Anolis sagrei: one gene and its partners. The protein of the gene in region 3 interacts with the protein of the main gene of each other region in a pairwise test. Links are inferred from orthologs where the notes say so. Each region holds a gene or a part of one and is shown on either strand. Other genes may lie near its edges.

What was found.
Region 1: the proteins of BCL2L13 (region 3) and GABARAPL2 interact in binary tests that used the Homo sapiens proteins (3 or more experiments, as listed by UniProt). The two-hybrid records come from large-scale screens. The link is inferred for Anolis sagrei from reciprocal best matches to the Homo sapiens genes BCL2L13 and GABARAPL2.
Region 2: the proteins of BCL2L13 (region 3) and PLP1 interact in binary tests that used the Homo sapiens proteins (3 or more experiments, as listed by UniProt). The two-hybrid records come from large-scale screens. The link is inferred for Anolis sagrei from reciprocal best matches to the Homo sapiens genes BCL2L13 and PLP1.
Region 4: the proteins of BCL2L13 (region 3) and lysoplasmalogenase TMEM86B-like interact in binary tests that used the Homo sapiens proteins (3 or more experiments, as listed by UniProt). The two-hybrid records come from large-scale screens. The link is inferred for Anolis sagrei from reciprocal best matches to the Homo sapiens genes BCL2L13 and TMEM86B.

Annotation. Positions count from the first base shown.
Region 1 is NC_090028.1:29,634,174-29,642,053, forward strand, and holds the start of GABARAPL2 (gamma-aminobutyric acid receptor-associated protein-like 2), read right to left. Parts: upstream 3,139-7,880; 5' UTR 3,004-3,138; coding exon 2,970-3,003; intron 1-2,969. Other genes in the region: TMEM231 (transmembrane protein 231), read left to right, coding at 3,278-3,377, 6,774-6,949, 7,036-7,164. UniProt on the Homo sapiens protein: Ubiquitin-like modifier involved in intra-Golgi traffic. Modulates intra-Golgi transport through coupling between NSF activity and SNAREs activation. It first stimulates the ATPase activity of NSF which in turn stimulates the association with GOSR1.
Region 2 is NC_090030.1:20,109,707-20,117,895, reverse strand, and holds the start of PLP1 (myelin proteolipid protein), read left to right. Parts: upstream 1-5,061; 5' UTR 5,062-5,188; coding exon 5,189-5,192; intron 5,193-8,189.
Region 3 is NC_090025.1:180,138,498-180,145,991, reverse strand, and holds the start of BCL2L13 (bcl-2-like protein 13), read right to left. Parts: upstream 3,097-7,494; 5' UTR 2,877-3,096; intron 1-2,876. UniProt on the Homo sapiens protein: May promote the activation of caspase-3 and apoptosis.
Region 4 is NC_090026.1:20,933,393-20,940,653, reverse strand, and holds the start of lysoplasmalogenase TMEM86B-like, read right to left. Parts: upstream 3,053-7,261; 5' UTR 3,041-3,052; coding exon 2,945-3,040; intron 153-2,944; exon of another isoform or gene 1-152. UniProt on the Homo sapiens protein: Catalyzes the hydrolysis of the vinyl ether bond of choline or ethanolamine lysoplasmalogens, forming fatty aldehyde and glycerophosphocholine or glycerophosphoethanolamine, respectively and is specific for the sn-2-deacylated (lyso) form of plasmalogen.

The DNA of each region.
Region 1 (7,880 bases), on a different chromosome or scaffold from region 3:
GACATAGGGTTACAGCCTGTGCTTGACGGGGTTACACCCCCTGAAGGCGCAGGTTCGCAGCTTGGGAGTGATCCTGGACTCATTGCTGAGGTTGGAGCCCCAGGTTTCGGCGGTGGTCAGGGGAGCTTTTGCACAATTAAACCTCGTGCGCCAGCTGCGCCCATACCTTGGGAAGTCTGACTTGGCCACGGTGGTCCACGCTTTGGTTACATCCCGTTTAGATTACTGCAACGCTCTCTACGTGGGGTTGCCTCTGAAGACTGCCCGGAAGCTTCAATTAGTCCAACGTGCGGCTGCCAGATTACTAACGGGAGCGGGGCACAGGGAGCATGCTATTCCTCTGTTGCGCCAGCTCCACTGGCTGCCAGTCAGCTTCCGAGCACAATTCAAAGTGCTGGCCTTATCCTATAAAGCCCTAAATGACTCCAGCCCAATTTACCTGTCCGAACGTATCCTCCCCTATGAGCCATCAAGATTACTAAGATCGTCTGGAGGGGCCCTGCTCTCGATCCCACCGGCCTCATAGGCGCGGCTGGTGGGAACGGGAGACAGGGCCTTCTCGGTCGTGGCCCCCGACTCTGGAACTCTCTTCCACTGGAGATCAGAACTGCCCCTTCGATCTTAACATTCAGGAAACAGGTGAAAACCTGGCTTTGGGGATTGGCATTCAACGAATGAGCCATGATCCTGTGATATGGATGGTTGATGATGAATAATGACTTTGATGACGACTGACCACTGTAATCATATGATTGTATTTTTGCCATTTTAATTGTTTCAATGTTTTAATGGTTTAGTGTGATTTAGAAATATGATGTTTTAATGACGGTCTGTAATATTGATGTTGGAAACCGGCCCGAGTCCCTCGAATGGAGGTGAGAAGACCGGTATACAAAACTACCAAATAAATAAATAAACTTTGTCCCACCCTGGTCATTCCACAGATATATAAACCCCTTTTCCTAGTTCCAACAGACCTCACTACCTCTGAGGATGCTTGCCATAGATGCAGGCGAAACGTCAGGAGAGAATGCCTCTAGACCATGGCCATATAGCCCGAAAAAACCTACAACAACCCAGTGATTCCGGCCATGAAAGCCTTCGACAATACATTATTATTATTATTATTATTATTATTATTATTTCTGGGAGTTGTAGGCCAAAACCCCTGGGGGCCCACTGGTTGAGAACCACTGGCCTAACATTGAGTCGCCTACGGGCTGAGAAAGGCGGTATAAAAATACAGTAAATACCTCTGAGGATGCTTGCCATAGATGCAGGCGAAACGTCAGGAGAAATGCCTCTAGAACATGGCTCTACAGCCCGAAAAAACCCACAAGAACCTAGTGATTCCAGCCATGAAAGCCTTCGACAATACAGTAAATAAATTTATTTATTTATTTATTTACTTTATTTGTATACCGCTCTTCTCAACCATTAGGCGACTCAGAGCGGTTAACAACAAGAAGCGGCAAAAATTAATTGCAAACATCGTACAGCCATTTAAAAGACAATTAACACAATAATACAGTAAGCAATTAACACCAATAACCATCAGTAAACATCAATAAAAAACTCACTAGCGTCTCATAACTAAAATCATAATCCAAGCTCGTAAATAAATAAACAAACATAACAGCTTATTGTTTAATTTGCCTGTTTTGTTTTCTTCCTTTTCCTCTTTTATATCGACTTGTCATGTTATGATCTGCCTTCTTTTATTCTGTATTTGTTATTTATTGTATTTATTTATGTTGTAAGCCGTTCCAAGACCTTCCGGGGGGGATGGGGCGGGATATAAATAAAGATTATTATTATTGTATTGTCGAAGGCTTTCATGGCTGGAATCACTCAGTTCTTGTGGGTTTTTTCGGGCTATAGGGCCATGTTCTAGAGGCATTTCTCCTGACGTTTCGCCTGCCTCTATGGCAAGCATCCTCAGAGGTGAGGTCTGCTGGAACTGGGAAAAAGGGGTTTATATATCTGTGGATCTGCCTAGTCAAAGCCATGGTATTCCCTGTAGTCACCTACGGATGTGAGAGCTGGACCTTAGGGAAGGCTGAGCAAAGGAAGATCGATGCTTTTGAGCTGTGGTGTTGGAGGAAAGTGCTGAGAGTGCCTTGGACTGCGAGAAGATCCAACCAGTCCATCCTCCAGGAAATAAAGCCCGACTGCTCATTGGAGGGAAGGATACTAGAGACAAAGTTGAAGTACTTTGGCCACATCATGAGGAAACAGCAAAGCCTGGAGAAGACAGTTATGCTGAGGAAAGTGGAAGGCAAAAGGAAGAGGGGCCGACCTAGGGCAAGATGGATGGATGGCATCCTTGAAGTGACTGGACTGACCTTGAAGGAGCTGGGGGTGGTGACGGCCGACAGGGAGCTCTGGCGTGGGCTGGTCCATGAGGTCACGAAGAGTCGGAGACGACTGAACCAATGAACAACAACAACAACATCTGTGGAATGACCAGGGTGAGACAAAGGGCTTTTGTAAGTTGGGCTAGGTGTGAATCTTTCAACTGACCACCTTGATTAGCATACAAGCAAGGTGGTCAGTTGAAAGATTCACACCTAGCTCCAGCAGACAAGAGTCCTTTGTCCCACCCTGGTCATTCCACAGATATATAAACCCATTTTTCCTACTTCCAACAGACCTCACTACCTCTGAGGATGCTTGCCATAGATGCAGGCGAAACGTCAGGAGAAAAATTGCCTCCAGAACATGGCCATATAGCCAGAAAAAACCCACGAGAACTGAGGATTATTATTGTTGTTGTTGTTGTTTTCCACAGTGTCATTCCTTCTGCGTTGTATTTTGTGTAGCTGCTATAATGAACCACTTAGTGAGGAGGCAGGATGGGAATCAAGAATCCCTGAGGGAAAGGAAAGGCCCGGCCCCCTTCTTTGCCTTCCTTCCTTCCTGTTTGTCCGGGCCCGGCTCCCTCCCTCCCTCCCGCCTTCCTTCCTCACCGAGCGCGTGGTCCTCCTTGAACATCCACTTCATGGCGCGGAGGAGGGAGGGGCGGGGGTCGCGCTCTTTCTTTCGGGCCTCCAACGCCACAACAACGGCGACGACGACAGAGATTCCAGCTCTTGCTCCCCGTTTCCGGAATACAGGGTGTGACTTCCGGTTGTCAAGATTCCCGACAACCCTCACTGTCGGGAGGACTTCCGCTCGAGTTCTCCGAGGCGCCTTGCTGATTGGACGGCCGCACGAAAGCCCGCCCCCTAGACCCCGTTTCCTGTCTTTCGCGTTGCCGTGGAGACGGAGCCGCGCCATGGCTAAGGAGAGGCGCAGCGCGGTGGCAGCAACAGCACTCTTCTTACTAGGCGTGCTGGTCGTCCTCTCGCCGCTGCTGGTGGCCTTCCGGAGCCACGGTGAGGATCCACGAAAAACAAGGGAGGGATTGCTTTCAAGGCCAGAATCACTGGGTTGTTGTGAGTTTTCCGGGCTTACAGTAGCATTCTCTCCTGACGTTTCGCCTGCATCTATGGCAAGCATCCTCAGAGGTTGTGAGGTTGTGAGGCAAGGGCAGGAGCAAGAACTCTTCATTAGCATTGAATAGCCTTGCAGCTTCAAGGTCTGGCTGTTTACTTCCCGGGGAATCCTTTGTTGGGAGGTGATTAGCTGGCCCTGATTGATTCTTGTCTGTATGGCCATGTTCCAGAAGCATTCTCTCCTGACATTTCGCCTGCAGCTATGGCAGGAATCCTCAGAGGTTGTGAGGCAAGGGTAGGAGCATTGAATAGCCTTGCAGTTTCAAGGTCTGGCTATTTACTTCCCTGGGAATCCTATGTTGAGAGGTGATTAGCTGGCCCTGATTGATTCTTGTCTGTGTGGCCATGTTCCAGAAGCATTCTCTCCTGACATTTCGCCTGCAGCTATGGCAGGAATCCTCAGAGGTTGTGAGGCAAGGGTAGGAGCATTGAATAGCCTTGCAGTTTCAAGGTCTGGCTATTTACTTCCCTGGGAATCCTATGTTGAGAGGTGATTAGCTGGCCCTGATTGATTCTTGTCTGTGTGGCCATGTTCCAGAAGCATTCTCTCCTGACGTTTCGCCTGCATCTATGGCAAGCATCCTCAGAGGTTGTGAGGCAAGGGTAGGAGCATTGAATAGCCTTGCAGTTTCATGGTCTGGGTATTTACTTCCCGGGGAATCCTTTGTTGGGAGGTGATTAGCTGGCCCTGATTGATTCTTGTCTGTGTGGCCATGTTCCAGAAGCATTCTCTCCTGACGTTTCGCCTGCATCTATGGCAAACCTCCTCAGAGGTTGTGAGGCAAGGGTAGGAGCATTGAATAGCCTTGCAGTTTCAAGGTCTGGCCATTTACTTCCTGGGGAATCCTTTGTTGGGAGGTGATTAGCTGGCCCTGTTCCAGAAGCATTCTCTCCTGACGTTTCGCCTGCATCTATGGCTGGAATCCTCAGAGTTTGTGAGGTCTGTTAGAATCTAGGCAAGTGGGGTTTATATAACTGTGGAAGGTCCAGGGTGGGAGCAAGAACTCTTCATTAGCATTGAATAGCCTTGCAGCTTCAAGGTCTGGCTATTTACTTCCCTGGGAATCCTTTGTTGGGGGGTGATTAGCTGGCCCTGATTGATTCCTGTCTGTATGGCCATGTTCCAGAAACATTCTCTCCTGAGGTTTCGCCTGCATCTATGGCAGGAATCCTCAGAGGTTGTGAGGCAAGGGTAGGAGCATTGAATAGCCTTGCAGCTTCCTGGGGAATCCTTTGTTGGGAGGTGATTAGCTGGCCCTGATTGATTCTTGTCTGTATGGCCATGTTCCAGAAGCATTCTCTCCTGACATTTCGCCTGCATCTATGGCAGGAATCATCAGAGGTTGTGAGGCAATGGTAGGAGCATTGAATAGCCTTACAGCTTCAAGGTCTGGCTATTTACTTCCCTGGGAATCCTTTGTTGGGAGGTGATTAGCTGGCCCTGATTGATTCTTGTCTGTATGGCCATGTTCTAGAAGCATTCTCTCCTGACATTTCGCCTGCATCTATGGCAGGAATCCTCAGCGTGAGGTCTGTTATTTATTTATTTATTTATGCTATTTCTATCCCGCCCATATTAGCTCGAAGGCGACTCAGGGCGGCGTATAGAGTCGGCACAATTTGATGCCATATATAAAATGCATACATTGATAAAACGCAGAAAAAAGAAACATTACAGTATATTTAAAATCATAAAAACAATGAACAATAAAAATTTTAAAAATGTAATCTAGGCAAGTGGGGTTTATATAACTGTGGAAGGTCCAGGGTGGGAGCAAGAACTCTTCCTTAGCATTGAATAGCCTTGCAGCTTCAAGGTCTGGCTATTTACTTCCTGGGGAATCCTTTGTTGGGAGGTGATTAGGTAATAGTATGATAGCTGGGTCCGGAAGCTCCGAGTGTTACGGAGATGCCACATCGCTCCTTCGGGAGCACTGTTTGCGCAAGAGAGACTTAGTTAATGTAAGCCAGGCCAGAGACAGATAACATAAAAGGAATATAAGAGTTCTTTAATGGTGAAACCCTAACCCTTATGCTAACCGAAACTCAAACCCTAAACCATACCCTAACTATAACCCCTAACCCTTACCTTAACTGTAACCCTAACCCAAACCCTGAACCTTGTCCTAACCCTTACCCTAAGTGTCCCCTCCTTTCTAACCTTTCTTCGCTCTCCCTGCTCTCACTCCGTCCCCTCTCTTCCCTTATTCACAGCCACCTTTGCGGCATCTTGGTAACGTTCAGAGCTTCCGGACCCAGCTATCATACTATCACCGGTGATTAGCTGGCCCTGATTGATTCTTGTCTGTATGGCCATGTTCCAGAGGCATTCTCTCCTCACATTTCGCCCACAGCTATGGCAGGCATCCTCAGAAGTTGTGAGGTCTGTTGGAAACTAGGCAAGTGAGGTCTATATATCTTTGGAATAATGTCCCAGGCAGGAGAAATAATTCTTGTCTGTTGGAGGCAAGGGTGAATGTTGCAATTAATCACCTTGATTAGCATTGAATAGCCTTGCAGCTTCAAAGTCTGGCTGCTTCCTATCTGGGAGAATCCTTTGTTGGGATTGTATCTGTTTTCTCAAACCAGTCATAATAATAATAATAATAATAATACTTTATTTAATACCCCGCCACCATCTCCCCAATGGGGACTTGGGGCGGCTTACATGAGGCCAAGCCCAACAGCATATTACAATAAAGTAAAACCAAAACACAATAACAACATAGTAAAATACATACAACATATGAGTGCAAAGACGATAAAGCAAAATCATACACAGTAAAATAAAATAACATAACAATGATGGGCCTCATGTGCAAGATAAAAACAAAGATACTAAAAATACTAAAATCAGGATGAGATAGGGATGGAGCAGATTGTTTGTGGGGGAGAAACTCGTAAAGGAACGGGGTCATAAATATAGACCTTCATACAGGTGGGGAATATACTCTGGGGACAGAAACAGTTGAGGGGGAGCAACTGTGTATGATAATATGGCTACTCTCCAAAAGCGTGTTGGAAAAGCCAGGTTTTGAGATCCCTCTTGAAAATTTCTAAGGTGGGGGCTTTCCTAATCTCACTGGGCAATGAGTTCCATTGACCATAATAACTTGAACTTGGTTTCTAAATGTTCACCTGCTATACATTTTATTGTGTTTTGCAAAGTCATTACAATTGAAAAGTCATTCTTGAAAAGTAAAATAAAATTTGAAAAAGAATAAAATATCCTTTGGATAAAAACGCTGCCTACCCGCCTTCCTTCCATCCCCACAGGATTCTGGCTGAAGCGGAGCAGCTACGAGGAGCAGCCCAGGGTCCGCTTTCAGCATGAGGTGCTGTTAACAGGGCTTCTGGCTGGAGAGCAGGGCAGTGGGGGCTTCGTGGGGTGGAGCTCCTTTGCAGCCTGCAACCGGCTTCTGGGTGACCACCTACGCCTCCCACTTATCTCGGTAGGAAAGCAGGTCCTTCCTTCCTCCTTTTCCATGGCGGGAAGTCAGGCCCTCTGCCCGCTTCCATCCATTCCTTCATTCTTCAGGCCCGGGAGGAGGACGCAGACCATGACGGCCTGATGGACCGGCTTTCCTTACGCCTGGAGCTCCCTCTGCGGCCCTCGGAGCAAGTCGTGGGCGTCCAGCTCCTGCTGACCTTCTCCTACCAGCTGCAGGTGAGGAGTCCAGGGCGTGATTGTTCATCAAATTTGGAATTATGGCCAACTCCACTTGCACTATATGGCTGCCACAATACATCTTAGAGCAGGCATGGGGAACCTTCGGCCCTCCAGGTGTGGTGGACTTCAACTCCCACAATTCCTTGAGGCCAAGGTAAGCCTTTGGGGCGAATGCCGAGCCTCAAGGAATTGTGGGAGTTGAAGTCCATCACACCTGGAGGGCCGAAGGTTCCTGACCCCTGTCTTAGAGGAACACCGGTGCCAGCCATTTTTATTGTAACTGTATTTTAAACTGTTTTGAGGGTATTTGTTGTAATGTTTATTTATGTTTTAGTTAATTATGTCTTACTTAGTATTCTGTTATATTTTATCTCGATGCTTAATTCACTGTTATTGTTGTTGGAGCCCCCAGTGGCTGTTGGAGGCAAGGGTGGCGCAGTGGGTTAAACCCCTGTGCCGGCAGGACTGAAGACCAACAGGTCGCAGGTTCAAATCCAGGGAGAGGTGGATGAGCTCCCTCTATCAACTCCAGCTCCTCATGCGGGGACATGAGAGAAGCCTCCCACAAGGATGATAAAAAAAATCACATCATCCAGTCGTCCCCTGGGCAACGTCCTTGCAGACAGCCAATTCTCTCGCACCAGAAGTGACTTGCAGTTTCTCAAGTTGCTCCTAACACGACAAAAAAAACCCCTGTTATTGTTGTGCTCTAT
Region 2 (8,189 bases), on a different chromosome or scaffold from region 3:
GCCATTGTTGGGCACATAAAGGGCCTGTGTCTGTCTTGCTCCGGGCGAGGCTCTGCCAGCCAAGCCTTCGGGGATAAAGGATGCCATAGAGAGAGGAGCACAAGGCCCCCCTTTTTGGGATGGGTGGGGCCGCACCTGGAGGGGAAGATCCACCCCAAAGGGACAACTCCTTTGCCTGGAAATCATAGAATCATAGAGTTGGAAGAGACCTAATGGGCCATCCAGTCCAACCCCCTGCCAAGAAGCAGGAATATTGCATTCAAAGCACCCACGACAGATGGCTATCCAGCCTCTATTTAAAAGCTTCCAAAGAAGGAGCCTCTACCACACTCTGGGGCAGAGAGTTCCACTGCTGAACAGCTCTCACAGTCAGGAAGTTTTTCCTAATGTCCAGATGGAATCTCCTTTCTTGTAGTTGCTCCCTCCTCCCTCTGACTTCTTCTCACATACTTATACATGGCTATCATGTCTCCTCTCAACCTTCTCTTCTTCAGGCTAAACATGCCCAGCTCTTTAAGTCGCTCCTCATAGGGCTTGTGCTCCAGACCCTTGATCATTTTAGTCATCCTCCTTTGGACACATTCCAGCTTGTCAACATCTCTCTTCAATTGTGGTGCCCAGACACCACATGGGCCATCTAATCCAAATGTCATAGAATCATAGAGTTGGAAGAGACGACATGGGCCATCTAGTCCAATCCAGAATGGAAAAGCACAATCAAAGCAGTTTCAACAGATGGCCATCCAGTTTCTGTTTAAAAGTTTCCAAGGTAGGATATTCCACCAGACTCTTAGGCAGAGAGTTCCACTGCTGAACAGCTCTTACAGTCAGGAAGTTCTTCCTAATGTCCAGGTGGAATCTCCGCTTCTGCAATTTGGACCAATTTCTCCAAGTCCTAGTTTCCATGGCAGCAGGACACAAGCCTGCTCTCTCTTCATTATGACATTCTTTCACATATTTATACATGGCTCTCATATCTCCTATTAGTCTTCTCTTCTGAGGCTAAACATACCTAACTCTTTGACCCTTTCAGTCGCTCTCCTCTGGACTCCTTCCAGCTGTCAGTATCTCTTTTAAACTGTGGTTCCCAGAATTGGACACAGTGTGATTCCAGGTAAAGAGGTCTAACTAAAGCAGACCAGACATGGGCAAACTTCGGCACTCCAGGTGTTTTGGACTTCAACTCCTAAAATTCCTAACAGCCGATAGGCGGTGATGTATATCTACATTTATACTTGGCTTCTATGGAAATGAGTAAACAGATATGGGACTTTGGGAATTTTTATGTCTTTGAAAAAAGCTCAGAAGATAAGAAGGTCATTCTGTGCTTGGCTAGGTTTGCTTTACCAGCCAGAGAAAATAATTCACGACAATGGAAGGGAGCAACTTTGACAACTCAGCACACAGGCTTTAAAAATGGGGATATCTGTTTTGAAAATATAGGGAGGTGTAAAATCTCATGAGGCCCCTTCTGCACTATTATATAATCCAGATTGGATTATAAGAGTCTATATAGCCATATAATCCAGTTCAAAGCAGATAGGTTGCTGTGAGTTTTCTGAGTTGTATGGCCATGTTCCAGAAGCATTCTGTGTGTTATTGTTTATATGTAAGTTATATTAATTGTACTGTTTTATTTGCTTGCTTTATTTTATTTTATTTTATTTGTCGTGTCAGGGAAACCAGTCAATTATATTACATTTCTAACAGAACAAAGCAAACAAACAGACAAAATACAAAATGTGTGATTTGGTAATTGATTAAATGTCCTTTGACCAGTATCTGGCCACTTGGAGTGCTTCTGGTGTTGCTGCAAGAAGGTCCTCCATTGTGCATGTGGCAGGGCTCGGGTTGCATTGCAGCAGGTGGTCAGTGGTTTGCTCTTCTCCATACTTGCATGTCGAGGATTCCACTTTGTAGCCCCATTTCTGAAGGTTGGCTCTGCATCTCATGGTGCCAGAGCTCAGTCTGTTCAGTGCCTTCCAAGTCGCCCAGTCCTCTGTGTGCCCAGGGGGAGTCTCTCATCTGGTATCAGCCATTGGTTGAGGTTCTGGGTTTGAGCCTGCCACTTTTGGACTCTCGCTTGCTGAGGTGTTCTAGTGAGTGTCTCTGTAGATCTTAGAAAACTAGTTCTAGATTTAAGTCGTTGACGTGTTGGTTGATACCCAAACAGGGGATGAGCTGGAGATGTCTCTGCTTTGGTCCTTTCAGTATTGGCTGCTACTTCCCGGCGGATGTCAGGTGGCGCAATACCGGCTAAGCAGTGTAATTTCTCCAGTGGTGTAGGGCGCAGACACCCCGTGATAATGCGGCATGCCTCATTAAGAGCCACATCCACTGTTTTAGGGTGGTGAGATGTGTTCCACACTGGGCATGCATACTCAGCAGCAGAGTAGCACAGCGCAAGGGTAGATGTCTTCACTTGTATCTGGTTGTGATCCCCAGGTTGTGCCAGTCAGCTTTTGTATGATATTGTTTCTAGCACCCACTTTTTGCTTGATGTTCAGGCAGTGCTTCTTGTAGGTAAGAGCATGGTCCAGAGTGACTCCCAGGTATTTGGGTGTGCTGCAATGCTCCAGTGGGGTTCCTCCCCAGGTGATCTTCAGAGCTCGGGATGCTTCTCTGTTCTTGAGATGAAAGGCACATGTTGTGTTTTAGATGGGTTGGGGATCAGCTGGTTTTCCCTATAATAGGCAGTAAGAGCACCTACAGCACCTTTGCTTGCTGTTTTGTTTTTACTGATGTGTTGTTGGGCTTGGCCTCATGTAAGCCACCCCAAGTCCCCTTGGGGAGATGGTGGCGGGGTATAAATAAAGTTTTATTTATTTATTATTATTATTATTATTATTATTATTCTGACCTGACATTTATGGGAGGCATCATTAGAGGTTATGAGGTCTGTTGGAAACTGTCTGTCTGAGGTCCAACAGACCTCACAACTTCTGAGGATCCCTGCCACAGATGCAGGTGAAATGTCAGGAGAGAATGCTTCTGGAACATGGCCATACAGCCCAGAAAACTCACAACAACCCAATGATTCCAGCCATGAAAGCCTTCGACAATTCAAAGCAGATAATCTGGATTTTATATGGCAGTGTAGAAGGAGGCCTCAAATACACAATTTGAAATTGAAAGGTCAGACCAGTCGCCTCCTCTCCTTCTCCCTCCAAGTGAGACTTAAGCAGCTCCCCCCCGCCCCCCCGGCCTTTCTCTCCTCCTTGCTCCCTCCTTCTCTCCTTCTTGGGTCATTTATTCTGGCCTCACTCCTGGCCTCAGCCTCATAAACAACGCCACTCCACCCCTCCATTAGCCTGGCCTCGCTGTCCTCTTGGGTGGACAATCCCTGGCATTGTCTGCAAGGGAGGCTCTGAGAAGGGATGGACTCCAATGGTGCCTCCCCACCCCCACCTCAAAAAAAGAAGTTTCTTCTCTCACTGGACAAGACTTCAAGTTTTGCGCCTGGTTTTTACATTCCAAAACAAAATGTTTTGGTGTTTTTTTAGCAACCCTTTCATACTGTATTTTGTTTTGCTCTGATGCAGAATGAGATTGCACTAGATCAGGCACAGGCGCTCCAGGTGTTTTGGACTTCAACTCCCATCATTCATAACAGCATCAGGCCCCTTCCTTTTCCCCCTCAGCCACCTAAGCCTGCACTTGATGGACTTTTGGGGGTCTTTTCTATGATAAGCGTTGGATGTTTGGATTTGTTTGTTTCTTCATGTCAGGAGTGACTTGGGAAACTGCAAGTTGCTTCTGGTGTGAGAGAACTGGCGGTCTGTGAGGACGTTGCCCAGGGGACGCCTGGATATTTTGATGTTTTATCATCCTTGTAGGAGGCTTCTCTCATGTCCCCATATGGGAAGCTGGAGCTGATAGAGGGAGCTCATCCGCCTCTCCCCGGATTCGAACCTGCGGCCTGTCGGTCTTCAGCCCTGCCGGCACAGGGGTTTAACCTACTGCGCCACAGGAGGCTCCTATTCCAGCCATGAAAGCCTTCGACAATACATTGGGGTTTGTTTGTTTTTTCGTGTCAGGAGTGACTTGAGAAACTGCAAGTCACTTCTGGTGTGAGAGAACTGGCGGTCTGCAAGGACATTGCCCAGGGGATGTTTGATGTTCGACCATCCTTGTAGGAGGCTTTTCTCATGTCCCCATATGGGGAGCTGGAGCTGACAGAGGGAGCTCAACCCACTCTCTCTGGATTCGAACCAGTCCTGCAGGCAGAAGGGTTTAACCCATTGCATCACTGAGTTATATGAGTTGGGATTTTGGCCTGCATCAATAGGAGCATAGTGTCTAGGTCCAGGGAAGTAATGCTACCCCTTTATTCCGCCTTGGTTAGACCACACCTGGAATATTGTGTCCAATTCTGGGCACCACAACTCAAGAGAGATATTGACAAGCTGGAATGTGTCCAGAGGAGGGCGACTAAAATGATCAAGGGTCTGGAGAACAAGCCCTATGAGGAGCGGCTTAAGGAGCTGGGCATGTTTAGCCTGAAGAAGAGAAGGCTGAGAAGAGATATGATAGCCATGTATAAATATGTGAGAGGAAGCCACAGGGAGGAGGGAGCAAGCTTGTTTTCTGCTTCCTTGGAGACTAGGACACAATGGAACAATGGCTTCAAACTACAAGAGAGGAGATTCCATCTGAACATGAGGAAGAACTTCCTGGCTGTGAGAGCCGTTCAGCAGTGGAACTCTCTGCCCCGGAGTGTGGTGGAGGCTCCTTTTTTGGAAGCTTCTAAACAGAGGCTGGATGGCCATCTGTCAGGGGTGATTTGAATGCAATATTCCTGCTTCTTGGCAGGGGGTTGGACTGGATGGCCCATGAGGTCTCTTCCAACTCTGATTCTATGAGTCTACATTGCCATATAATCCAGTTCAGTGTGGATTTTATACAGCTGTGTGGAAGGGGCGAGAGAGAGGGAGGACAAACTTAACGAGAGCCCACTTGCTCTGATGCGCGCGCATCTTCGCGTTCCCGCAATTGGGGAGGGGGCGTGTTTGGGGGCGTGGCGAGGGCGCTGGGGGCGGTCCCTTTAAGGGGCTTGGCTGCCACCCCAGGGCCCTTTTCTTGGCCGTGGGACTGCGGAGCCCAGGCAGTCAGCACAGCAGCCAGGCAGATTGACAGGCAGGACTTTCTGAGGAGAGGAAGGCGGCAAGGGATTCACGCCCCAGAAGAGATGGGTGAGTTTTCCGACCCCTGCAACGCCCCCCACCCTGAAAGGAGGGCTGACAGCCAGAGCTTTTGGAAGATTGAGCCTCTCAGAACAGAAGCTGCTTGCAGGCATGGGCAAACTTCAGTTTAAGCGGCTGAGGGGGAAAAGGAAGGGGACCGAGGCTGTTGGGAATGATGGGAGTTGGAATCCAAAATACCTGGAGGGCCCAAGTTGGCTCAAGCCTGCTCTAGAGGTTTATGGCTGCTTCTGTCAATTACCTTATTATTATTATTATTATTATTATTATTATTATTATTATTTATATTCTGCTCTATCTCCCTAAAGGGACTCAGGGCAGATTCCAAACATAAAAGGCAAACATTCAATGCATTTGAACATTAGGAAAAACTTCCTGACTGTGAGAGCCATTCAGCAGTGGAACTCTCTGCCGTGGAGTGTGGTGGAGGCTCCTTCTTTGAAACGTTTTAAACAGAGGCTGGATGGTCATCTGTCTGGGATGCTTTGAATGCGATTTCCCAGTTACTTGGCAGAATGGGGTTGGACTGGATGGCCCATGAGGTCTCTTCCAATTCTCGGATTCAATTATTCTACTAGCCGTCCCCTGCCACGTGTTGCTGTGGCCCACATGGGGATTCTGTGTGCCCAATTCTATCGTTGCTGGGGTTCAGAATGCTCTGTGATTGTAGGTGAACTATAAGTCCCAGCAACTACAACTCCCACGGGCATCACCACCAGGAAACACAGTATTTTTTTTTTTTTGGTATTGGGGGTTCTGTGTGGGAAGTTTGGACCAATTCTATCATTGGTGGGGTTCAGAATGCTCTCTGATTGTAGGTGAACTATAAGTCCCAGCAACTACAACTCCCAAATGTGAAGATTCTATTTTCCCCAAACTCCACCAGTGTTCACATTTGGGCATATTGAGTATTCTTGTAGCGTTTGGTCCAGATCCATCATTGTTTGAGTTCACAGTGATCTCTGGATGTAGGTGAACTACAATTCCAAAACCAAAGGACACTGCCCACCAAACCCTTCTAGTGTATTCTGTTGGTCACAGGAGTCCTGTGTACCACGTTTGGTTCAATTCCATCACTGGTGGAGTTCAGAATGCTCTTTGATTGTAAGTAAACTATAAATCCCAGCAACTACAAAATGACAAAATCAGATTTTTGAGTGATGGTCACTACTTGGGTTAATAGGTGTCTTGTGTCCAAATTTGGTGTCAATTCATCCAGTGGTTTTTGAGTTCTGTTAATCCCACAAACGAACTTTACATTTTTATTTATATAGATGAAATACCTTCTGAATTCCAAGGCCCCAAGTTTGCCCATGCCTACTCTATCCTCTACAAACCCCAGGATTGAATAGCTGTAATCCATAGCAGTCAAAGAACTGTGGTTGGGCAGAAGGAAAATAGACACAAGCCAAACGTGTGGGTTTAGCCCTGTTTGCATTATTATTTCCCTCTCTTCTATGTTTTGCTTAAGAGCCAAGAAAGAGCAAGAAAAGGGAGAGGAATGCCGATCTTCTCATGCGCTAGGCATGCACGGCCCACCCATCCAAACACATCCTTCATTCAAATATCAACAATACATCAGGGAAGGCTTCTGGACATTAGGAAGAACTTCCTGACTGTGAGAGCTGTTCAGCCGTGGAACTCTCTGCCCCAGAGTGTGGTGGAGGCTCCTTCTTTGGAGGCTTTTAAACAGAGGCTGGATTTCATAGAACCACAGAATTGCAAAATAATAATAATAATAATAATAATAATAATAATAATAATCTTTATACCCCGCCACCATATCCCCCAACGTGGACTTGGGGCGGCTTACATTATGCCAAGCCCAAACAATAAATTACCACAAGAGACCACATGGGTCCTCTAGTCCAATCCAGAACTTCTTCAGGCTAAATATGCCCAGCTCTTTAAGCTGCTCCTCATAGGGCTTGTTCTCCAGACCCTTGATCATTTTAGTCACCCTTCTCTGGACACATTCCAGCTTGTCAATATCTCTCTTCAGTTGTTGTGCCCAGAGACCACATGGGCCAACTAGTCCAAATGTCATAGAATTGGAAGAGACCACATGGGCCATCTAGTTCAATCCAGAATGGAACTGCACAATCAAAGCAGCTCCAACAGATGGCCATCCCATCTCTGTTTAAAAGTTTCCAAGGAAGGATCTTCCACCAGACTCTGCTGAACAGCTCTCACAATCAGGAAGTTCTTCCTAATGTTCAGATGAAATCTTCTCTCTTGTAATTTGAACCCATGGCTCTGAGTCCTAGTTTCCAGAGTAGCAGAACACAGAGCTGTTGAGCAGTGGAACTCTCTGCCCCAGAGTGTAGTGGAGGCTCCTTCTTTGGAAGCTTTTAAACAGAGGCTGGATGGCCATCTGTCGGGGATGCTTTGAATGAAAATGTCCTGCTTCTTGGCAGAATGGGGTTGGTCTGGATCTTCCATGAGGTCTCTTCCAACTCTAGGATTCTATGATTCTAAGACTGTGGATTTCTTTCTGGGACATGTGAACCTGGCAATGAGCAGCCCACACTGAAATGATAGCAGCTCTGTGGGGCAAAAGAAGGGGTGCTTCTGCTACTTAATTCCATCTCTCCTGGAACCAGTGCAAAGATGTAGGAGCCTCTTGCAAAGACCCCTCCTCAGCAGCGGAAGAGAGGTCCAGAGCCCAGGAACAACTCCTGTTTCCTTGGCAACCAGAGGCAGGAGCATCATCGGGAAGAGAGGAGGCTCAGTGGGCTGGAGGGGTTGCTGGTGGGTAGAAGGTAGGGAGGGTGGCATTGGGTGGCATAGGGGATCCTGCCTGGCACACAGGTGGGAGCACATGTGGAATCCCAGCTGGCAGGTCCCTCTGCTTTGTAAGAAAGCGGTTTTCCTGGCTTTACGGTTCCAGCATAGTCTTCAGACTATCTCCCTGTGCATATGCAAATAGATGGGAGAGTGACCAGCTCGGCAGCAAACTCTGGCCCCCTCCATGCAGCTGGGTAAATG
Region 3 (7,494 bases):
GGAAACAACTGTACAGGCCTCCTCTTGCAAGAGCAAGTTTGAAAAAGAAGAAAGGGCATGCTGTATCATGCATCTATCTTCTCTCCCTCAAGTACATGCAAAGAACGCCATTCTTACCAACTGTTGAATAAATGCAATTGTGGGGAGTGTGGGGGGGGGGAGTACTAGAGGGAAGAAATGGCAGCCCAAATGCATGCAAGCACAAGCACAGGCAGTCCAGCCCCCACCAGCAATAATTCTCTAAAAAGAAAACATTTGTCAGATGACAGGACATGCCTCTGTCTATATTGCTAATCCCTTGTCCAGTCAGCAGGAGGAAGAGGAATCTGTTCCTCCCGCAATTTCAAACAACCACACAGCAGCCAGTTATCAAAAAATGGAAAGAAGAGTCAAATCACACCCCATTGTGAGGAAAGGCTCTACAAACAACCTACTCTTTCAACTTGTTAGTTTGACTTTTTAAAGCAGGGCCGTACTATGATCCCAGCCATGCTACACACACACACACACGCACGAAGCCTGTGACCACATTTGTACCAAGCTAGGAATCACTGGCGCCATAGTGGACAAAGAAAGGCTCTTCAGCCCGTGCAACTTTTTTTTTGGTTGAAGGGTTAATTGGTCCTTCTTAGAAACTATCTGAACTGAACTGAAACTGTCCTCCCATACAGGCTGTGGATATTAGGGATATTAGATCAGCCCCTTCCCTCCTGACCTTCCACAGAAAAGTGAAAACATGGCTTTTTGAAAAAGCCTGTCGGAACCTAGTGCAATAGATAAACATGGAACTATGTGAAATCAAACACTGGAATGGTTTAGACTATATTTTTTGGACAATGAGGCTAATAGTGTTTGATATGATTTTAAATGTTTTAATGTATGTATTTTACAATTCTGTTTGAAATTGTGATTTTATATTGTATTGTGTGTTTATTTTGTATTGCTTTTCATTATTTTCATTTTATCTTATTCATTTATTATTTTATGTTGTATATTTGCTTTGATGTAATGATTGGGCTTGGCCTCATGTAAGCCGCCCCGAGTCCCCTTGGGGAAATGGTGGCGGGGTATAAATAAAGTTTTATCATCATTATATTATTATGTTTATTGTAATTTTAACATTGTTTTAATGGCATCAAATAGCTATCTGTGTTGTAAAGCCGCCTTGATTCACCTTCGGGTTCGAGAAAGTAGAAATATCGTAAATAAAAAAAAGAATTACATACATATTATTAGCCACAGTTCCATGATAGAAAATATTTTCATTTTATTTTATTGATGCATTATTTTATGTTGTATATTTGCTTGGATGTAATTGTTGGGCTTGGCCTCATTTAAGGCGCCCCGAGTCCCCTTGGGGAGATGGTGATGGGGTATAAATAAAGTATTATTATTATTATACTTTTATATTATAACACCAGAGGCACTCCAAGTGGCGAGCTACTGGTCAAAAGACATTTAATCAACTACCAAACTTGCAAACTTTGTGTTTTGTTTGTCTGTTTGCTAAAAAATGTAATGCAACTGTTTGGTCTGTCCCTGACACGATAAATACATTATATTATACTGTTTATTGTAATTTTTACATTGTTTTAATGGCATCAAATGGCTGCCTATGTTGTAAAGCCGCCTTGAGTCATCTTCAGGTTTGAGAAAGGCGGGGTAGAAATATCGTAAATAAATAAAAGAAATAAATACATATTAGCCACACTTCCATGATAGGTGGAGAAAATATTTTCATTTTATTTTATGGATGAATTATTTTATGTTGTATATTTGCTTTGATGTAATTGTTGGGCTTGGCCTCATGTAAGCTGCCCCGAGTCCCCTTGGGGAGATGGTGACGGAGTATAAATAAAATATTATCATTATATTATAATGTTTATTGTAATTTTAACATTGTTTTAATGGCATCAAATAGCTATCTGTGTTGTAAAGCCGCCTTGAGTCACCTTTGGGTTTGGGGGGTATAAATAAAGTTTTATTATCATTATATTACAATATTTATTGTAATTTTTACATTGTTTTAATGGCATCGAAAAGCTGCCTGTGTTGTAAAGCCGCCTTGAGTCACCTTTGGGTTTGGGGGGTATAAATAAAGTTTTATTATCATTATATTATAATGTTTATTGTAATTTTTACATTGTTTTAATGGCATCGAATAGCTGCTTATGTTGTAAAGCCGCCTTGAGTCACCTTTGGGTTCGAGAAAGGCGGGGTAGAAATATTGTAAATAAATAAAATAAATGCATATGTACACATTAGCCACAGTTCCATGATAGATGGAGAAAGAATGAGCCCCCCAAAAAACAACCACTCCCAGCAGAAGACTGGAAAAGCAGGTCTGCAGAATTAGAAATACATGATGACTCGTGTTTAAGACACTTTGCATCTCAATCGAAAGACAAAAGCGGGATATAAACAATTTCATAACAATGCGAGCACATTAATATTTGAAGGACTTTCTGGAGACAATATACTTATAATGGTGTTTCATTTGGAAGACTAATAATTGTATCTTATAGAAGAGGCATGGGCGAACTTGGGCCCTCCAGGTGTTTTGGACTCCAATTCCCACCATTCCTAACAGCCTCAGGCCCTGAAAGGGCCTGAGGCTGTTAGGAATGGTGGGAGTTGGAGTCCAAAACACCTGGAGGGCCCAAGTTCGCCCATGCCTCTTCTACACTATTGTATATATTTGAGGTCATTGCAAACAAACCAAACAACCTGAAAGACTACAATATTAATACTGCATTACACATTAATATTCTATAGAACTTTCAGCAGAGAATATATTCATAAAGGGATAGGATTTGATCAAGATTACTAAGGATTGTATCTGGTATCCCTTTGGGGGGTGTGCGCCTTCTGTTTACCTGAATGACGGCAAGCGAGGAGGTCAAAACGGCGAAAGGAGGGCGCGCGGCGCTTCCCGTGCTGGAGCCGTTGGCCGCCTTTCGGGTTTGGTGGTGGCGCGCGTGTCTGCCTGCGCGCGCGGCGCTTCTCTCTTCCTCCCTCAGCCAGGGGGCCCCTAAATGAAAGCCTCTGCCGCCGCCATGATGGAGGAGGGCAAAAAGAAGGCACGGCAAAGCCGGGCACGCACGCACGCACGCAACGTCATGACGTCACACACTCCCTTAAAAAATACCCTCAACAAGAAATCTATAAAAAAAAAGAAAGAAAGAGAGGAATTGCAAAAAGTGTGGGCAGAAGTCAAACCACACTTTAAAAGATAGTTGATGGTTAGTCCACACCTGTCCAATTCTGGGCACCACAACTGAAGAGAGAGATTGACAAGCTGGAATGTGTTCAGAGGAGGGCGACTAAAATGATCAGGGGTCTGGAGAAGCCCTATGAGGAGCGGCTTGAAGAGCTGGGCATGTTTAGCCTGAAGAAGAGAAGGCTGAATGGAGACTTTTTTTTGTCGTGTCAGGAGCGACTTGAGAAACTGCAAGTCACTTCTGCTGTGAGAGAATTGGCTGTCTGCAAGGACGTTATTATTATTATTATTATTATTTATTATTATTTACTTTGCATATATACCGCTGTATCTCAAGCCCGAAGGCGACTCACAGCGGTTCACAAACAGTAAAAACAGTAGAGACAGCAGTGGTTCCATGCAACATATAACAACACATTATCCATAAATTATCAATAAGCAATTACAATGCACAATTATTACAAAAAACAACCGTACCCAATCTTCTCATCATCCAAGCGTAGTCCAGGTTCGTCGTCCATTGTTCCATTCCTATGTTCCATTACCAGATTGCACTAAATTACTCAAACGCCTGCACAAACATCCAGGTCTTCAACTTTCTTCGGAATGCCATGAGAGATGGCGCCAGCCTAATGTCTGTAGGAAGGGCGTTCCACAGCCGAGCAGCCACCACCGAGAAGGCCCTAACTCTCATACCCGCCAACCGTGCTTGAGAAGCCGGTGGGATCGAGAGCAGGGCCTCCCCGGAAGATCTCAAAGTCCTGGTGGGTTCATAGGCCGACACCTGGATGATTTGATGCTTTTATCATCCTTGTGGGAGGCTTCTCTCATGTCCCCGCATGAGGAGCTGGAGCTGAGAGGGAGCTCATCCGCCTCTCCCTGGATTCGAACCTGCGACCTGTTGGTCTTCAGTCCTGCCAACATAGGGGTTTAACCCACTGCACCACCGGGGGCTCCAGAGGATACATGATGTTGTTGTTGTTCATTTGTTCAGTCGTCTCCGACTCTTCGTGACCTCATGGACCAGCCCACGCCAGAGCTCCCTGTCAGCCGTCACCACTCCCAGCTCCTTCAAGGTCAGTCCAGTCACTTCAAGGATGCCATCCAACCATCTTGCCCTTGGTCGGCCCCTCTTCCTTTTGCCTTCCACATGATAGCCATGTATAAATATGTGAGAGGAAGCCACAGGGAGGAAGGAACAAGCTTGTTTCTTGCTGCCCTGGAGACTAGGACGTGGAACAATAGCTTCAAGCTACAAAAAACTTCAAGGGGTCACACTCTCCTTGAAGACACAGGTTCGCAGTTTGGGAGTTCTCCTGGATTCATCACTGAGCCTGGAATCCCAGGTTGCAGCGGTGGCCAGGGGAGCATTCGCACAATTAAAACTTGTGTGCCAGCTGCACCTGTACCTTGGGAAGTCAGACTTGGCCATGGTGGTCCATGCTCTCGTTACATCTAGGATAGACTACTGCAACGCACTCTACTGACTTAGGATGGATTGCGTTCCCTCGTTTCTCTCTGAAAAATCCTATCCCAGTTACATTGTACCTGTTCACATCAGCATATTCTCAATTTTAATCTATTACATTTGGCCCGGCCATTCATTATTGATTGTTGTTTTTGTTATGTGATTTATATGATTTGTATTTTATTGATTGTTTATTAATGTTGTGTTATTGATGTTTGTTTGATGTACTTCGGGCTAGGCCTCATGTAAGCCGCACCGAGTCCCTTGGGGAGATGGTAGTGGGGTACAAATAAAGTTTATTATTATTATTATTATTACATGTGGTTGCCTTTGAAGACTGCTCGGAAGCTTCAAACAGTCCAACGAGAGGGAGCCTGATTAATAACTGGGGCGGCACACAGGGAGCATACTGCTCCCATGTTATGCCAGCTCCACTGGCTGCCAGTTTGCTACCGGGCACAATTCAAAGTGCTGGCTTTGGCCTATAAAGCCCTAAATGGCCCCGGCCCAAATTACGTGTCCGAACGCATCTCCCCCTATGAACCATCACAAAGATTAAGATCCTCCGAGGAGGCCCTTTCTGTCCCACCATTGTCGCAGGCATGATTGTTGGGGACGAGAGACAGGGCCTGAACATGAGGAAGAACTTCCTGACTGTGAGAGCCGTTCAGCAGTGGAACTCTCTGCCCCGGAGTGTGATGGAGGCACCTTCTTTGGAGGTTTTTAAACACAGGCTGGATGGCCATCTGTCAGGGGTGATTTGAATGCAATATTCCTGCTTCTTGGCAGGGGGTTGGACTGGATGGCCCATGAGGTCTCTTCCAACTCTTTGATTCTATGATTCTATGTAATATAAAATATATAATTATGATATATGTTTAGTATTATATTGTATTACATTATAATATTATAAATACTATATGTATATACAATATATTGTATTACATTATATAATTAGCACAGCACATTGATCTAGGAAAGCTTCTGCCGCCGCCATGATGGAGGAGGGCAAAGGAAGGCACGATAAAGCCGGGCACGCACGCGACGCTATCATTATGACGTGACTCCTCATGTAAACATACCCGCCACACAAAGGGATCTATAAAAAAGCTTCTGCCGTCGCCATGATGGAGGTGGGCAAAAGAAGGCACGGAAAAGCCGGGCACGCACGCGACGCCACCGTCATGACGTCACTCGCTCTCTGTAAGAATATCTTCAACACAAGGGATCTATAAAAGCTTCTGCTGCCGCCCATAACAGAGGGCAAAGAGAAGGCACGGCAAAGCCGGGCACGCACGTACGCGACAACACCGTCATGACGTCACTCCATTTAAGAATACTCTTAACAAGGGGTTTATATGTAAAAGCCTCTGTCACCGCCATGATGGAAGAGGGCAAAAGGGGACACGGGAAAGCCGGGCACGTACGGGACGCCACCGTCATGACGACACTCTCCCATGTAAGACTACCCTCCACACAAGGGATCTAGCTTCTGCCGCCGCCATGATGGAGAAGGGCAAATGAAGGCACGCATGCTCAGCATCGAGATGGCAGCGTCGTGACGTCACACATCCACACTCGCCCCTCGTGCGCTTCTCCTTGCCCGTCCTTGCCTCGTATAGCGTTGCCATTGTAACAACAACAACAACAACTATTATTATTATTATTAGGTCTTCTTCCCTGAATAAAATGGAATATATTGGAGCATTACAATTTCTATGTATTAAGGCAAAGGTAAAGATTTTCCCCTAAAGGTGTCCGACTCTGGGGGTTGGTGCTCATCTCCATGGCTAAGCCGAAGAGCCGGCGTTGTCCGTAGACACCTCCAAGGTCATGTAGTCGGCATGGCTGCATGGAGCGCCATTACCTGGCCGGGGTGGTCCATGCCTTAGTCACCTCTAGATTGGACTACTGCAATGCACTCTACGTGGGGCTGCCCTTGAAAACAGCCCGGAAATTCCAGGTGGTGCAGCGGGCGGCTGCCAGACTGTTAACTGGTGCTCCTTACAGGGAGAGGTCAACCCTCCTGTTTAAGGAGCTCCGTTGCCTGCCATTCATTTTCCGGACCTAATTCAAGGTGCGGGTGCTTACCTACAAAGCCCTAAACGGTTTGGGACCCATCTACCTTCGCGATCGCATTTCTGTATACGAACCCACACGATCTCTTCGTTCATCTGGTGAGGCCCTGCTCACGATCCCACCTGCTTCACAGGCGCGATTGGTGGGAACGAGAGACAGGGCCTTCTTGGTGGTGGCCCCGCGACTCTGGAACTCCCTCCCAAAGACATCAGGCAGGCCCCAACACTGGCAGTCTTTAGAAGGAGCTTGAAAACGTTGATGTTCCGGTGTGCCTTCCCAGAATAAGGAATCCTAAGCAGTATGTCCTCAATGCACTTTATGAGAGATTTAGAACTGTCTGCACGTTCACCTTTTCCAAAACATTCCTCCTATCCCCTTTAAACTTCCCAGCTTTTAACTTGTAAAACTTTTACATTTGGCCCACCTCATATTTTTATAATGTGCTGTGTTATTATTGTATTGTTTTTGCTTTTTATGAGTTATTTATTGTTTTGTTTTTTTCATGATGTTGTTTGGCTTGGCCTCTTGTAAGCCGCACCGAGTCCTGCGGGAGATGTTAGCAGGGTATAAGAACAATAAATAAATAAATAATACCTTCCCACATATTCTCAATACAGAAGCAACCACAAGCAAGTTTGGGTATCAGCCAGCACGTCAACGACTTAAATCAAGAAATAGTTTTCTTAGATCTACAGAGACACTCACTGGAACACCTCAGCAAGCGAGA
Region 4 (7,261 bases), on a different chromosome or scaffold from region 3:
CCTGCTTGGCACCAGATTGTCGAGATGTACCTGGCTCTGACAGAGCACAAAGACAGCCTGACATCCGGCCCAAGCTGCTGGGCAATGACTATGCCATGATCCACCATCCCCGTCAAGGAACAGGGAGAGCAGCTGCATTACAGTACATAGGGAAGGGCTCCTGAACTTGCACAAGACCTTCAGGTACAATTGGCAGGTCTCAGAGCTTGGTTTTTGTGGATCATCTCCAGGTGGAAGATGGGAGTACAAAGTCTCCAGTTTTCGTGGGCAAGAGGAAAACGTTGTTGTCAAATATTCAGCTCAGTTACTAGAACAGGAGTGTGATGCAATTTGCAATGCTTAAATATCTTTCTGCAAGACTCTCCAAAGGGGAGTTAGTGCCTTCCTTCCTTTTCAGTAGTTCTGCTGCTAGGACTCATCCTCCTATCTGCTCTCTTATCCACCTTCTGGTTAGAAGCACATTCTTTGTTATTATGTGCTTTTAAGACATTTCTGACTTAAGGCGAATCTATCACAGGGTTTTCTTGGCAAAATTTGTTCAGATGAGGGTTCAGATTATCTCTCTCTGAGGCTGAGAGAGTGTGATTCCCATGGTCGAGCAGGGATTTGAAGTCTAGTCTCCCAGTGTTCTCATCTAATGCTCAGCTTTCTCATATTGAATTCCCTAAGTAAGTGAGAAAGAATTATCCCCTCATTTCACCGTGGTCTGAGAAGTAAGGTAAAGGTAAAGGCAAACATTAAGTCCAGTCATGTCCAACTTTGGGGGTTGGTGCTCATCTCCATTTCTAAGCCAAAGAGCCGGTATTGTCCATAGACACCTCCAAGGTCATGTGGCTGGCTTGCCTGCATGGAGCGCTGTTACCTTCCCGCCGGAGCAGTACCTATTGATCTACTCACATTTGCATGTTTTTGAACTACTAGGTTGGCAGAAGCTGGGGCTAACAGCGGGAGCTCACCCCACTCTCCGGATTTGAATCAACGACTGCTTGGTCACCAAGTTCAGTAGCTCAGCAGTTTAACCCACTATGCCACTGGGCTGAACAGCCCCTTAAGTTAAGGATTCTGCTTCTAAACTAAATTCTGAAGTAAAAAAAAAAGTATTAGACTCTTAAGATTCAAACTGACAAACGATTAAAACATAATATGCAAAATATAACTGTGATTGAAAAAAAAGACAACTTGGATTATGGGGCAATTCCTGGAGTCAGCAGAATAGAAAACAAGGAGATGGAAAAGATGATGAAATATTGTGCATATGCATCTTCAAGTCATATGTTGACATATGGCAACCCTTTAAATCATAAGGTTTTATTTGGCAATGAATACCTAGAAGTGGTTTTCCCAGTTCCTTCCTTTGATATATAGCCTACAGCATCTAGTATTCATTGGCAGTGTCCCATCCAAGTACTAAGAGGAGCTACCTAAGATTATCCTTTGGGGTATTTAGATAGCATAATGTGCAGGATGTACTGTGTATTTTCATTCGCTGGATCAAATTTGGCACAAATACTGGATATGCCCGAATGTGAGTACTGGTGGGGTTTAGGGGCGGAGGTTGATTTTGTCATTTGGGAGTTGTAGTTGAGGGGATTTATAGGTAACCTACAATCAATGAGCATTCTGAACTCCCCCAATAATGGAACTGAACCAAACTTGCCTCACAGAACTTCCAAGACCAACAGAAAATACTGGAAGTGTATGAGTTTTGGAGTTGTAGTTCACCTACATCCAGAGAGCACTATGGACTCAAACAATGATGTATGTGGACCAAGCTTTGCACAGACACTCAATATGCCCAAATGTGAACACTGGTGGAGTTGTGGAAAATAGACCTTGACATTTGGGAGTTGTAGTTTCTGGGATTTATAGTTCACCTACAATCAAAGAGCATTCTGAACTCCAGCAATGATAAGAATTGGACCAAACTTGCCACACAGAACCCTCCTGACCAACAGAAAATACTGTTTTCTGATGGTCTTTGGTGACCCCTCTGACACCCGCTTGCGACCCCCCCCGGGGGGGGGGGTCCCAACCCCCAGATTGAGAAACGCTGCTCTAGTTCCTCCAACACAACTCTGTGGTGAAATCCCACTTGAAATTGGCCATAGAGTTACATTGGTGGATCTAGAAATTCCTAAAGACCATATTAATCAAATCCACCATATTAATCAAATCCAATCAAAGTGGCAAAAGAAATATCCACAAATGTGAAGAGCTAACTGTAGGTGCTTAAGAGAAGGATCTTCACCAGATGTTGCTTATCCTGTAAGCACCGGCTGCTGAAATTCCATGTTCTGAGCCACCATTAAAGCCTTTCCCTTTGTTTCACTTGGCAACCTTATGCGACAGAAACAGCGGTTATCTTGGAATGCTGTCTCAAGATAGATTTGCTAACCCAAACAACAAACGCCCACACTCTCACATCTTTGCTCTTCTTCTCTTGTTAGGATAACAAGTTGTTTGGCACAGAAGAATCCTTTAGGCCAGTCATTTCCAAACTTTGGTCCTCCAGTTGTTTTGGACTTCAGCTTCAATAGGCCAGCTTGTCCAGTGCTCAGGAATTATAGAAGCTGAAATCCCAAACACTGGCAGACCAAAGATTGGGTACCAATGCTTTAGACCATATAAAAAAAGAATTCTGGTTAGAGCATTAGACATGGAGACCAGAGTTTCAATACCTACTTGGCCATGAAATGCACCTCTTGTGAATCACACTCTCAACAACAGAGGCAATTCTCAAATTGTGCCAAGAAAGTACCGTGATAGGGTCACCTTAGGTTCACAACAGGTTGAAAATGACTTGAAGGCACCCAACAACAACAGCGGCAACGCCCCACGTCTAGTCATTCTGTCAAGTTTCTTCTTTCCCTTCCTGGCTACCTGCTTCTCTAGAAAGAAACATGAAACAATAGTGGGAAATTGATGCTGCCATTGTGCAACCCACCTCAGGGCTGTGGTTCGACACACCACGTTGAGACCCACGTTGTGCGAGCCACTGTTCTCCGCGGAAAGAGGACCCTGCTGGACCAGACACCTCCATCGCTATGCCTTGAATGAGCACAGCAGAGAGCTTTGTAGGACGTGATTCAAAATAAGATATGGAAAATACATTTTGCATGTCTCAATATTGCGTGGGAATATGACTCTCTCCACCCTTAAGGCCTACATCTTCCTGCTTCCATCCCTATGTGAAGCGTTGAGGAGATTCATTACTGACCAAAATGGACTCCATTACATAGAAGTGTGATTGTGCGGGGAACGGGTCATACGCTCTCAGTTCCAGAAACCCAGTGACAGGTTTGCCTTAGGTTTATCATATGTCGGAAATGACTTGAAGGCACACAACAACAACATACTTAAAATAGATTAAACACGAGTCAGAAATGAATCCTGCCCTACAGGATTATCAAGTCTTTGGATTTACCACAGTGATTCCTTCTCCTTGGAGTTGGCTTTTCCCATAGGAATCCGAAGGCATGATAAAACTCAAAACGCGATAAGACTATCTCCTCCTTCACTCTGAAAAAGTTACCCCAGTCAGTTTGAGACAAAACACAGCTGGAACAGCTCCTGGACAGAGATAGATAGCGAGCTATGAATGATGAAATAATCCATTAATGTTTGATCTAACTGTGTGAAGTTTTGCAGGAATATCTGGTGATACAAATGTGAAGGTAAAGGAAAAGTGTCTATTTTGCCAAGTCCGGATGATGCTTCCATTTCAGTGGAGCAGTGAATCCATTCTGGTTCTATTCTGACTTTGTAAGAACTCCCCAAGGTGCTGAACTTGTCCCTAAAATAGGTGAGGTGTTTTGGATTGGAGTGGATTCTACCGATCACTGACTTGGGGGCCACCAATAGGTACACATTTCTCCATGAAAGCTGGCCAAGATTTGAGTTTTTTGGAGCCTTATTTTATTGCAGTATTTCTCAACCTGGAGTTTGGGACCTCTGGGGGGTCATGAGGGGGTTTCAGAGGCATCGCCAAAGACCATCAGCAAACATATATTTGTACAGAGAAGGCTGAAGATCTCTCCGCTTGACCTTCTCTTCCTTTTTGGATACACGGCAAATTCTCCCACCAAAAGTCCTCTTCTGCTGTGATTGGCCGGGCTCTTGGCTGGCCTCTCAACCAAGGGGAGGGTTGTTTCTGAAATTCCAAGTGGGGAGGGGAAAACAGGCGCGCTCAGCGCATGGCAGCATGGTGCACATGTGTGGGCGAGGGAGAGCGTGCAAGGCTGGAAGAAGACATGGGGGCTCTGTGTGGGAAGTTTGTCCCAATTCTATTGTGGTGGGGTTCAGAATACTACTTGATTGTAGATGAACTATAAATCCCAGCAACTACAATTCTCAAATGCCATGATCTATTTTCCCCCAAACCCCACCAGTGTTCATATTTGGGCATATTGAGTATTCATGCCAAGTTTGGTCCAGATCTATCATTGTTTGAGTCCACAGTGCTGTCTAGATGTAGGTGAACTAGAACTCCAATATTCAAGGTCAATGCCCACCAAACCCTTCCTGTATTTTATGTTGGTCATGGGAGTTCTGGGTGCCAAGTTTGGTTCGATTCCATCATTGGTAGAGTTCAGAATGCTCTTTGATTGTAGGTGAACTATAAATCCCAGCAACTACAACTACCACATGACAAAATCAACCCCACTATCCCACCAGTATTCAAATTTGGGCGTATGGGATACTTATACCAAATTTGGTCCAGAGAATGAAAATACATCCTTCATATCAGATATTTATAACACTAGCAAAATGACAGTTATGAAGTAGCAACAAAAAGGAATTTTATTAAGGGGTCACAACATTAGGAAGGTTGAGAAACACTGTTTTATTGAATTCTGTGTGTACTGTAAATAAGATACAAAGAGGGTAACTTCAGAAGAAGGCAAGGATAAATCCCCTTTGAGCAAATTATATCCTCATAGATTTGGGTCGCTCTAGGTTTTCCCTCGGATCGCCAAGGCTGGAAACAATTTGAAGGCACACAACAAACAATAATAGCTCAATAAATAATTTGAAAGTAGTTTCAATTACAAGATGGTACCAGAGTGCACATAGTCTTTTCAGGGCCTTCCAAGTTGTCCAGTCTTCTGTGTGCCCAGGAGAGAGTTTCAAACTACAAGAGAGGAGATTCCATCTGAACATGAGAAAGAACTTCCTGACTGTGAGAGCCGTTCAGCAGTGGAACTCTCTGCCCCGGAGTGTGGTGGAGGCTCCTTCTTTGGAGGCTTTTAAGCAGAGGCTGGATGGCCATCTGTCAGGGATGATTTGAATGCAATATTCCTGCTTCTTGGCAGGGGGTTGGACTGGATGGCCCATGAGGTCTCTTTCAACTCCTTGATTCTATGATTCTATGATTCATCTGGTATCAGTCACAGTTTTAACCTGCCACTTTTGGACTCTCATTTGCTGAGAGTCTGAAAGTGTTACTGTGAGTATCTCTGTAGATACATATTTGTACATATGTAAGTTTTCCCAAATACAATAATGAGGTGGTTCTAAAATGCATATGAAACTTGGGATTAGGAGATAGAAAATATAAGTTAAAGAAATAGAGATGTGTTGCGATAAAAATTAACATACTACATCAGCTATTTTAGATTTATGGAGGTATCTTCACAGAGCAATTTAGTAAACCACAAAGAGAGATAGTAAACAGATTTCAAGGAAATAATTAATGTTGCAATTTTTAATTAAGAAGGTTTAAGCTGTAAGTTGTAGTGCTCCTATTCAGAAATGTAAGTGCTATCATGAGACAAATCCAAACAGAACAGCCCAACCAAAATACTGTATTTAAAACAGAAGCTGAAAAGAAAGAAAAACATGACTTACCTTTTTGTAGTCACAGCCGCTTATAATTTTTTTCAGCAGTTTCCAAAGTTTCCAACTCAAACTCTGAAATCTCAACTCAACTCAAATTGTGAAATCTTAGGTTCATGTAAGTTCTTCCATCGAATTGTGTATGTGTGTGTCATTGTGTTTTCATCATCACAGCCAAAAAATTGCAATAACTGAAATCACAGAAGTAACTCAAGATATAAAAACTAACCAAAACCTGTAGCTAAAAAAATTATACTGATGAATTGATGTATGTGTATTTAAATATTTTTATTTAAATACATGCTGTGTAAGCATGTGTGTAAGCTAAAAAATCTACTGATGAATTAATGTATGTGTATTAAAATATTTTTTATTCAAATACATGCTTAAATTAATATATAGTGTGTGTGTAAGCCTAACCCACAAGAGAACATTCCAATAAAAGGAATTAATATTCTGCCCAGAAGAAGCAGTGTCAAGGTATATAATAACAAAAAAAAATAACAAACTGCAAATCTCAGAATTCCATAGGATTGAACCATGTCAGTTAAAGTGGAATGAAGATGCCATGCTTCTATTGTGTGAATGGGACCTAAGTTAAGGAGTTTGTAATAACTGGGGTTCAAGTGAGAAGGATATATAAAGCATTACTCCTGTTGTCTTAGGTTCCTTACCTTCTCATAGAATCACAGAATCACTGAGTTGGAAGAGACCTCGTGGGCCATCGAGTCCAACTCCTTGCCAAGAAGCAGGAAAATCGCATTCAAAGCACACCCGACAGATGGCCATCCAGCCTCTGATTGAAAGCCTCCAAAGAAGGAGTCTCCACCATACTCCGGGGCAGAGAGTTCCACTGCTGAACAGCCCTCACAGTTAGGAAATTCTTTCTAATGTTCAGATGGAATCTCCTTTCCTGTAGTTTGAAGCCATTATTCTGTGTCCTAGGCCCCTTCCACACAGCTGAATAAAATCCCACATTTTCTGCTTTGAACTGGAATACGAGGGTTGAATGAAAAGTAATGCCTCCACCTTTGTAACTCTTCAACAGATGGCAGTACTGGTATGCAGCATGTACTAGCTTGTTCAGTAGACTCTCCTCTACAGTTTCATTTTGGCGGGAAGCCTTAGCATTGAACAGTTTTGTTGTTAAAGTATAAAGTATGGAACCCTGCGCAGACGGTCGGTCAATGCGACTTAAGCAATGTGCAGTCATTGATTTCTTGACAGTAGAAGGTGTCACCCCAACGATGCACAGTACTCAAATCAACACAATCACCATAAACAGCTTGCATTCTCTGATGAATCCCCTTTGGGGTGACACCTTCTGCTGTTGAGAACTCACGTTGCTTAAGTTGCATTGACCGACCATCTGCACAGGGTTCAGATTGAACAAAACTGTTCAATGCGAAAATTTCCCACCAAAATG